Daphnia pulex: one gene and its partner. The protein of the gene in region 2 interacts with the protein of the main gene of each other region in a pairwise test. Links are inferred from orthologs where the notes say so. Each region holds a gene or a part of one and is shown on either strand. Other genes may lie near its edges. The genes, in order: exocyst complex component 7-like and vacuolar protein sorting-associated protein 51 homolog.

Evidence for each region.
Region 1: the proteins of vacuolar protein sorting-associated protein 51 homolog (region 2) and exocyst complex component 7-like interact in a two-hybrid assay, tested with the Drosophila melanogaster proteins (2 studies listed by BioGRID). The link is inferred for Daphnia pulex from reciprocal best matches to the Drosophila melanogaster genes Vps51 and Exo70.

The regions. Positions count from the first base shown.
Region 1 is NC_060020.1:3,980,590-3,984,517, forward strand, and holds the start of exocyst complex component 7-like, read right to left. Parts: upstream 2,437-3,928; 5' UTR 2,335-2,436; coding exon 2,305-2,334; intron 2,169-2,304; exon of another isoform or gene 2,146-2,168; intron 2,090-2,145; coding exon 1,924-2,089; intron 1,828-1,923; coding exon 1,634-1,827; intron 1,570-1,633; coding exon 1,452-1,569; intron 1,391-1,451; coding exon 1,293-1,390; intron 1,224-1,292; coding exon 1,083-1,223; intron 1,018-1,082; coding exon 855-1,017; intron 792-854; coding exon 604-791; intron 542-603; coding exon 362-541; intron 297-361; coding exon 53-296; intron 1-52. Other genes in the region: palmitoyl-protein thioesterase 1-like, read left to right, coding at 3,173-3,269, 3,335-3,444, 3,503-3,630, 3,700-3,858, 3,921-3,928. UniProt on the Drosophila melanogaster protein: Required for exocytosis. Thought to function in intracellular vesicle targeting and docking before SNARE complex formation.
Region 2 is NC_060021.1:636,379-640,306, reverse strand, and holds the start of vacuolar protein sorting-associated protein 51 homolog, read left to right. Parts: upstream 1-1,160; 5' UTR 1,161-1,357; intron 1,358-2,050; 5' UTR 2,051-2,113; coding exon 2,114-2,281; intron 2,282-2,354; coding exon 2,355-2,591; intron 2,592-2,655; coding exon 2,656-2,775; intron 2,776-2,838; coding exon 2,839-2,979; intron 2,980-3,080; coding exon 3,081-3,352; intron 3,353-3,424; coding exon 3,425-3,474; intron 3,475-3,541; coding exon 3,542-3,867; intron 3,868-3,928. Other genes in the region: cap-specific mRNA (nucleoside-2'-O-)-methyltransferase 1-like, read right to left, coding at 1-149, 214-524, 679-712. UniProt on the Drosophila melanogaster protein: May act as a component of the GARP complex that is involved in retrograde transport from early and late endosomes to the trans-Golgi network (TGN).

The DNA of each region.
Region 1 (3,928 bases), on a different chromosome or scaffold from region 2:
TTGTTAATCAAACCAGATTTTAAGTTAAACCTGAACAAGAAAAATGAATTACTGATATAAAGTCCTAGTAAAGCTTTGTTTCTCTGAGGTTTCGGCCAGGGTTGAGTGTGTACCAATGCGTTGGAATAACTTTGATCTTGGGCGAGAAGCGGACCGACTGTGTCAGACAAATCAGTCAACTGGCCGAGAAAAAGAACGACATTGCTCGTCATTTCATAGACCGTGCCATCTCTAGGCAATGGAGCTGCAGATTCAGAACGCACAGATTCTGCAAAGTCTTCAAGGGCCTTGCCGCACTAATCAATCACAAAATAACACAGTGATAAAAACGAATCTAAATTATGGTGAGTTATTAGCTTACGGTTGTATGGAGATTATTAACCATTGCGTAAAATCGTGTGCGAACAGAAGAATCGCATCCTTCCAGCAATTTATCACAGTCGCCTTTAAAACACACTAAATGGCGTAAGGCAGGAAAAAGAAGCAAAACGGGACCGAACTCTTGACGAGAAACACTTCGGCGCGCTCGGCCGCTTAAGCTCTAAAAATTAGTAAAGTACAAGAATGACTAACCGATGAAATTGAATCAAGAATATTTCCAACCTCGGCATCGTGACAGATCATTTCCAATGCGTCTCTGAGAATGATAGACAGAACAGCTTTTTGATGCGGCAAAGGGACAATACCCAACATAAGTCTCAGTTCACTCTGCAGTAGTCGCAAAAGTGCCGTGAATTCGGTTAAGAACGATTCGATTTCGTGTTCTTCGACAGCATCTTCTTTTATACTGTCTGAAGAAGAAACAATAATGATAATTGGGAAAAAGTAAAATAAATTTAATTTCGTCTTCTCACCCGCAGCGCTTCTCCTGGGGCCCAAAGCCAGTCCTGTAGAGCTTTCCAACGTTTGAGAAGCTTTCAAAAGCATTTGGTTGGCCTTGCGCTCAAGCATTTGCTGTAGTTTCTTAGATGTCTTTCTACTTGGAGTGTCATAACTGGCTTTGACACCTGATTTTGCCTGAAAATTATAAAAGAAGTTCATTATATATTGCCTAATAGTAGTCACAATAAATATTAGATTACCAGCAATGTAGCCGTTCCCGACATGGCAGCTACGGGACTCACGCCTTGGTGACTCGATACCCCAGTAGATGAACTTCTCAAATGATCACGAAGGCCAAGAAGGGTTTTCTGCACAGTATTTGCGCGAAACCGAGCGTAAACCTGGAAAGTAAATCAGTGACAAAGTTTATTTAATATGTCGTGGATTAATGATTGATGATTACAAGTTACATTCATGAAGTCATCTTCATTGTGAGTTACAAGCCAATCAGCTATTTGCATCAAATTGTCTTTCACATCTGCAGAGAAGTGATTTATACTTATCTCCTCTGGAATGAAAATGGAACATTACATTGAATTTTCAGGTAGTTATAGATAAATGGGGTTCACCTTCATCATTTGCTAGAGCTTCCAAAAGTGCTGTAGCAGGAATGGTTTGACTATGTTTTGCTAGGTGTTCTTTAAATTCGCTGATAATATTATCTTTGCCAGTTTCAAATAGGCTCATCTAATACAAAAGTTGTTTTTTAAGTTTGTAAGGTATGGTGATTGTAAATAAAAATGAAACTTACAACATTTTCTAACTCCACACTCTGTGGATTATTTCTCTCAAAGAAATGCATAGCTTCTTGCAATCGACCGAGGGATTGGAGAAAAATTTCTAGACCCTGACTTGAAGGGCTCTCTTTTATGACAGGCTCAACTTCCTTGCTGACACTGTAATAGCTAATGACATGATCCAAAGAGGCTAATGTTTTATCAATGTCTATAAACACGAAGAAAGTTAAAAAGAAATTTAGATTTTGTAAATTTAGAAATACAAGAAATATTGATATTATATGAGATCTCATTAATAATTTACTTTCTTGTTTCTGTTGCAAATTTTTTGTCTCATTGTAGACTGGTAAAATGGTCTTTTCAAGTCTCGCAAGCCTTTCATCAAATGAAGTCAAAATATTGACCATTCCATTAGTAAGCTGAGAACTTCTAGAAGCAGCATCTTGAAGAAAGACTAGTCCTGTCAGCACCTTTACCAATCATTAATTAAACCCATTATTTGTTTGATACAATATGTCAATATAACCAGTCATATATGTGAGTATCCAGTCACAGCAAAGAAATTTGAATTTTGTAACAAGAAATTGAGTTTAATATTCAAACCTTTAAAATTAGTATTTAAAACAAATAAAATCAAATGATATAAAGAAGAACTAAGTAGGCCTATATAAAACAAAAAAGTAACCTTTTCATGTTTATGATTAAAATCTGACATTTTGCTGAATTTCTGTCAGTTGTTTCGTTTCTCGCCATCTACCGGCTAGAAAAAAACGGTCTTTTATTTCGGTAGGGTAGACGGTAGGTAAATAGGTAATTAACAAAAAAAAGTAAATTCCTCGATTGGTGCGTCAAGTTGAAGTTGGACAAAGAAAAAAATCTAAAAAAGACGTCGCCGTCTATTATGGAAGAAAATATTCAACGTTGAGTCCATTATAATCGCAAGCACATGGGAGCAATCCGAGCCCCACTAAAATGTGGCTAATGACGAAATACGGCTCATAAAGAAAAAAAGCGCTCAGATATACCAGTTTGTTTTGGTAAAAGGTAATCTGAGGTAAAATGGAAATCTGATTTTACTAAGTTCTAAATGGGTTCTTGTTTTCACGGAAGTTGTGTCGTAGAAAAATGGGAAAACTCCAAAACGGTGGTGACTCGTGAACTATTTTGCCGTCACCCTTTCGATGACCCGCAGTTCTACGTTTTTTTGAAGCGACTTTAAATTATTTTAATAACCTTTTTACGATTTTGTTGTTTTTCCTGCAACATTCTTTTTTTTTAAGATCGCTTGAATAGCCCTCTATTGAGATCGATTATGAACCAACCTGGCCACCTGTTGAAAATAGTCAACACTAACCTTGAAAAAAGAATAAATTTTGAAGCCAGCCCAGCACCAAGAAATGTCAAATACACAAATGTCAATGTCAAATGTCAACGTGAGAAACTCGTGCATGGTTGTAATTCAATTACGTAACTGCTTTGTCTAAATTCCAAGCCAACTTATTAGCTTGACCCCGTAAGTGTATGAGTAGTCCTCCTTGGGTAAAGAATCAAGAATGAAGTACACACTTCCCTTAATGTGTGTTTTCCTCTTATTAATAAATTGTCAAATGGTTTTATCAATACTACCAATTGTGATCTGGCACGGATTAGGTAATCACATTTAAGGTTTCTACTTCATTCACAATTTCATGATAAATTTTGAAATGGGTATGTAGGTGATGTTTGCTGCAATCCATTGAGTATTGGGGGCCTACAAAAATTTATACAACAACAAATTCCTGAGGTCTATGTAATTTCGCTGAAGATTGGCAAGACCATTCGTGAGGTATTAATTCAGTATAGCTCAATTAAAAATTTACACCAACAATTCCAATATTATGTAGGATTTTGAAAATGCATACATCAAGAATGCAAACGATCAAGTTGAATTTGTGTGTGATCTGATCAAAAATGACCCTAAATTAGCATTAGGATATCATGGATTAGGGGTATCTCAAGGGGGGCAGTTCTTGTAATTATATCTTTATTGTTGAATAGTTAAGATTATCTTTGAATCATTTTAATTTTCTGCTTATTATAGGAGAGCTGTAGCTCAACGTTGCCCTGATCCTCCGATGGTAAATCTAGTCACTTTAGGCTCTCAACACCAAGGTGTATATGGGTTACCCCGTTGTCTAGGAGATGATGTCAAATTTTGTGACTATGTTCGCTCGCTACTTAATCATGGAGCTTACAAAAAGTTTGTCTACTTGAGACCTATACATTTACAAAAATAATTTTAACAGAACTAATTTTATCAAGATGGATTC
Region 2 (3,928 bases):
CTTGAGTCCCATTCAACATCTTCAGCTTCCAATCCTTTTATCTGCAAACCCAATCCTCTTCTTCCGCGTTGTTTAGAGACTTCGATGGGCTGTGTCATACCTTGGGATTTCTTACCAAGTCCAGTTCCTTTAGCCCAACCCATTTTAGCCTTTAAGTAGTTCAGAAATCTATTAGCAGCCACATAGTATGCACTGTAAGAATATTAAACTGACCATCATTGCTGTGGCTTTATGATTTATGACTGGAGCAGCAGCAGATTTAGGTTTGATGAGTGTTTTATGTACAGAAGGCATGATAGGCTGATCATCATCACTAGAATCAGAATCTTGACTACTGGATGGTGCATTAAACCCATATCCTCCATCAGCATTACTTTTGGATGGGCTAACAATGACAGTGCTACGTTCACATGTTTCAATGTCATTTAGTTTCTTTCTTGAGTTAACTTCTCCTGTATTATTATAATACTGTGTGTTTGGTTTTTTCAAAGGAGGTCTGTAACTATCATCATCTGAACTGGAATCTGTAGAAATTTTGCAGGAAATTACTTATATTATATATATATAACCCATTAGTTGCAAAACGGGTTCCACCAATTTATTCAAGCTAGGTTAATTATTGCTGAAGATAAACCAACTTTTTTCTATAAAAAAATTTAAACAGCGTCTCATACTAACCACTCAGTGATGTTATTTTTCCTTGCGAAGCCATTGTTTAGCGTTTTGTAGTTGTGTAGACTATTTGATGACTGACGTCGTTCCTAATAATATAACGTTTCCAAATTTTTAAGTTAATTCAAAAGCCAAAAGCTTCCAAAAGTTGATTTCCATGATTTATATATGACTCACCAGAATTAAACGTACGCATTGACATGTGGCTATAGAAGTCAAAATGCAAGCATCTTGAAAATACACAAAAAAAAATGTCTGACGAATGATTTAATAAAACGATCGAATGACCGAACGGAAGAAAGTAAACACCGCTCGTTCTTGCTCACGCTAGCATAATCTGATATCTGTAGCGATGTCTGCTACAGTCTGGGTCTTTCATTTTTATTGGCTGATATGAAAATATTTTGAGTTTAGTATCAGTACATAGAGGGCAGCAGATAAGGTGGGGTCAGCTGTTAGTGTGGTGGTATTATTGTGTAATGTAATGAGCTAATCAGCCAGCAGCTCTCTGCAGACTGCATATCCAAAACCTAAAGCAAGCCGGCCTGTCATAATTTCTTACCTGTTATTTTTATGCCTTGGGTTGGCGGTTTGAGACTTGAAGCGTTAAGACATTCTGACATCAGCTCGCGAAACGTCAAAAACTTACATTAACGCTATCCAATCCCCAACCATTCGATTTGCAGTTACAACCACAGACTAAGAGGGTAAAGACTACGATCAGGGATAGGGCTAAAGAGGGATGCTTGAAGCGATGCTCGTCCTATGCCGTATGGTGGCGCGTCGAGCACACAAAACGAAAGCCATTATTTTTCCTCTTTCCCTACTGATTAGAGTCTTCACACACCGTAAGTTTATAATTAAACCATTAACATATCAATAGTGATGTTTTGTGTAAATATAGCTTAGATATCTCCCATGTTGTGGGAATTTTTTTAAATTTCTATGTGATGTCTAGATACAATCTATAAATTCCTTTATTAAACCCCCTTTTTGCCCATTTTCAGGCCCAGGAAACAGCGTTTCACGATTTTCAGGCCCATTTCAGAAAATCTTGAAACGCTGTTTCCTGGGCCTGAAAATGGGCAAAAAGGGGGTTTAATAAAGGAATTTATGGATTGTATCTAGACATCACATAGAAATTTAAAAAAATTCCCACAACATGGGAGATATCTAAGCTATATTTACACAAAACATCACTATTGATATGTTAATGGTTCAATTATAAACTTACGGTGTGTGAAGACTCTAATCAGTAGGGAAAGAGGAAAAATAATGGCTTTCGTTTTGTGTGCTCGACGCGCCACCATACGGCATAGGACGAGCATCGCTTCAAGGGGTTTATAGCCGTTCGTGGTCTTTACCCTCTTAGTCTGTGGTTACAACTAAAGAAATGTATGTGCGGTATGTGTAATCACTAATCAGTTGGTGAACAGTGCCAATGAAAAACGTCAAAATGAGTAAAGAACTAAATGAAAACGATAAAAGAAAAAGAAACAATCTTCTTTCTCAATACTATGGGATAACAGAAGAAAAGGATGTAGAAAACCTTTTTGACGTGGATGGAAAGCACTTTAATGCTGATGCCTATGTTGACAAACTGGTTCAGGTAATCATATTCTATTTCTTATTTTGCCAAATAATAAAATAAAACTTTTATGTGCTTGGATGTTTTTCAATAGGAAACCAGCTTAAAGCAACTTATAGATAAAGAACAGGAACTTGTTCGTGAAATTCAATCACTTGATTCAGAAATGCAAACTTTGGTTTATGAAAATTATAATAAATTTATCCTTGCCACTGATACCATCCGCCAAATGAAAAGTGATTTCAAAACTATGGAAGATGAAATGGAGAAGTTAGTTCAAGACATGTCTCATATTGCAACATTTGCCAACAATATATCTTCAAATTTACAGGTTGGTGAAATATTTGAGTTTAGAGTTGATTAAATTTTTAATAATAATGACCCTGTCTTTTTAGGATCGGCGCCAACAAATAACAAAGCTTTCAAACATTCACGAACTGCTAAAAAATTTGCAATTTTTGTTTGATCTTCCCAACAAGCTGAAAACATGTGTAGAAGAAAAGAATTATTCATTGGTTTGTTTCATTGACATTATCTGTCTATATTTCCTGTATTAAACTATAATGTTTCTTGTTTAGGCTGTTAAGTATTATGCAAAATCTGAGCAAGTTCTTCAAGATTTTGGAGATCATCCTTCTTTTAGTGGAATCCAATCAGATTGCAAAGAAATTGTTGAAACACTCAGGAAATGCCTAAAGGTGCAATTCAGCAGAGCTGAGGTAAGCTGTAAAAAAAATATTATGTTGGAAAGTAAGATAATAAGAAACTAACCAAAATGTCTATTGTGGAATTTTACATGACATGTTCATGGAATTCATAGGTAACTTCCCAGGAACTAGAAGAATCTGCATCTCTTTTATGCAAACTAGGTGAATCTTCCACTGACCTTGCAAGAGAATTTCTTGAAATCAATAAAGTGAGGTTAGAAAAAGATTTGGAAGATCTATCCTCATATGTGTGGTCTGGTGAAAATAATGGAGAAGTGGTCCTCATATTCATTGAAAAATGCTGCAATACAGCATTGAATAACGTTGCTCTTACCATTGCAACCTTCAACAACATTTTCCCTTCAACCATATCGAAACATAATGAGTATGTTTTACTTTTTATTGATTTTATGGTTTAAATTTTTTGCGTTTTCATCATAATACGTTGAATTAACAGGGGGATGAATAGCATGGCCACGGATGTTATTAATCAACTTTGCCCAATAGGTAAGGAGCTATATATTTCACCCTAGAAATTAGCTCATGTCATAAAATTTCCTTTTCGTCCCTGTAGTGGAAAGTAAAATTGTCGAAATCATCGGATTCGAGATAAGTGAAGCCTGCTGTTTGTCAGTAGTTGCGGCTTTGGATAAATTTCATCGTCGTCTATTGGCCGTTCAGCGACTATTACTGGTGGATAAGCAATGGAGCTTCACTCTCATTACTGAAATTGCTCGAATAATTTCACATCGAACAGCCGACGCTCTTGTTATCAAATGGACAAGTGAACTACAAGGCTGGCGTGATTCCTGGAATAACGATAATCAGCCACACGGTTCGGTCAAATTTATTGAAGGGGCTCTCGTGGAACACATTCATCGTGCTTTTGTTGCTCTAACGGTATTATCGTAAGGTTCTGTGTCATTTTATACCCGTTAAAATTCAACATTTATTTTTTATT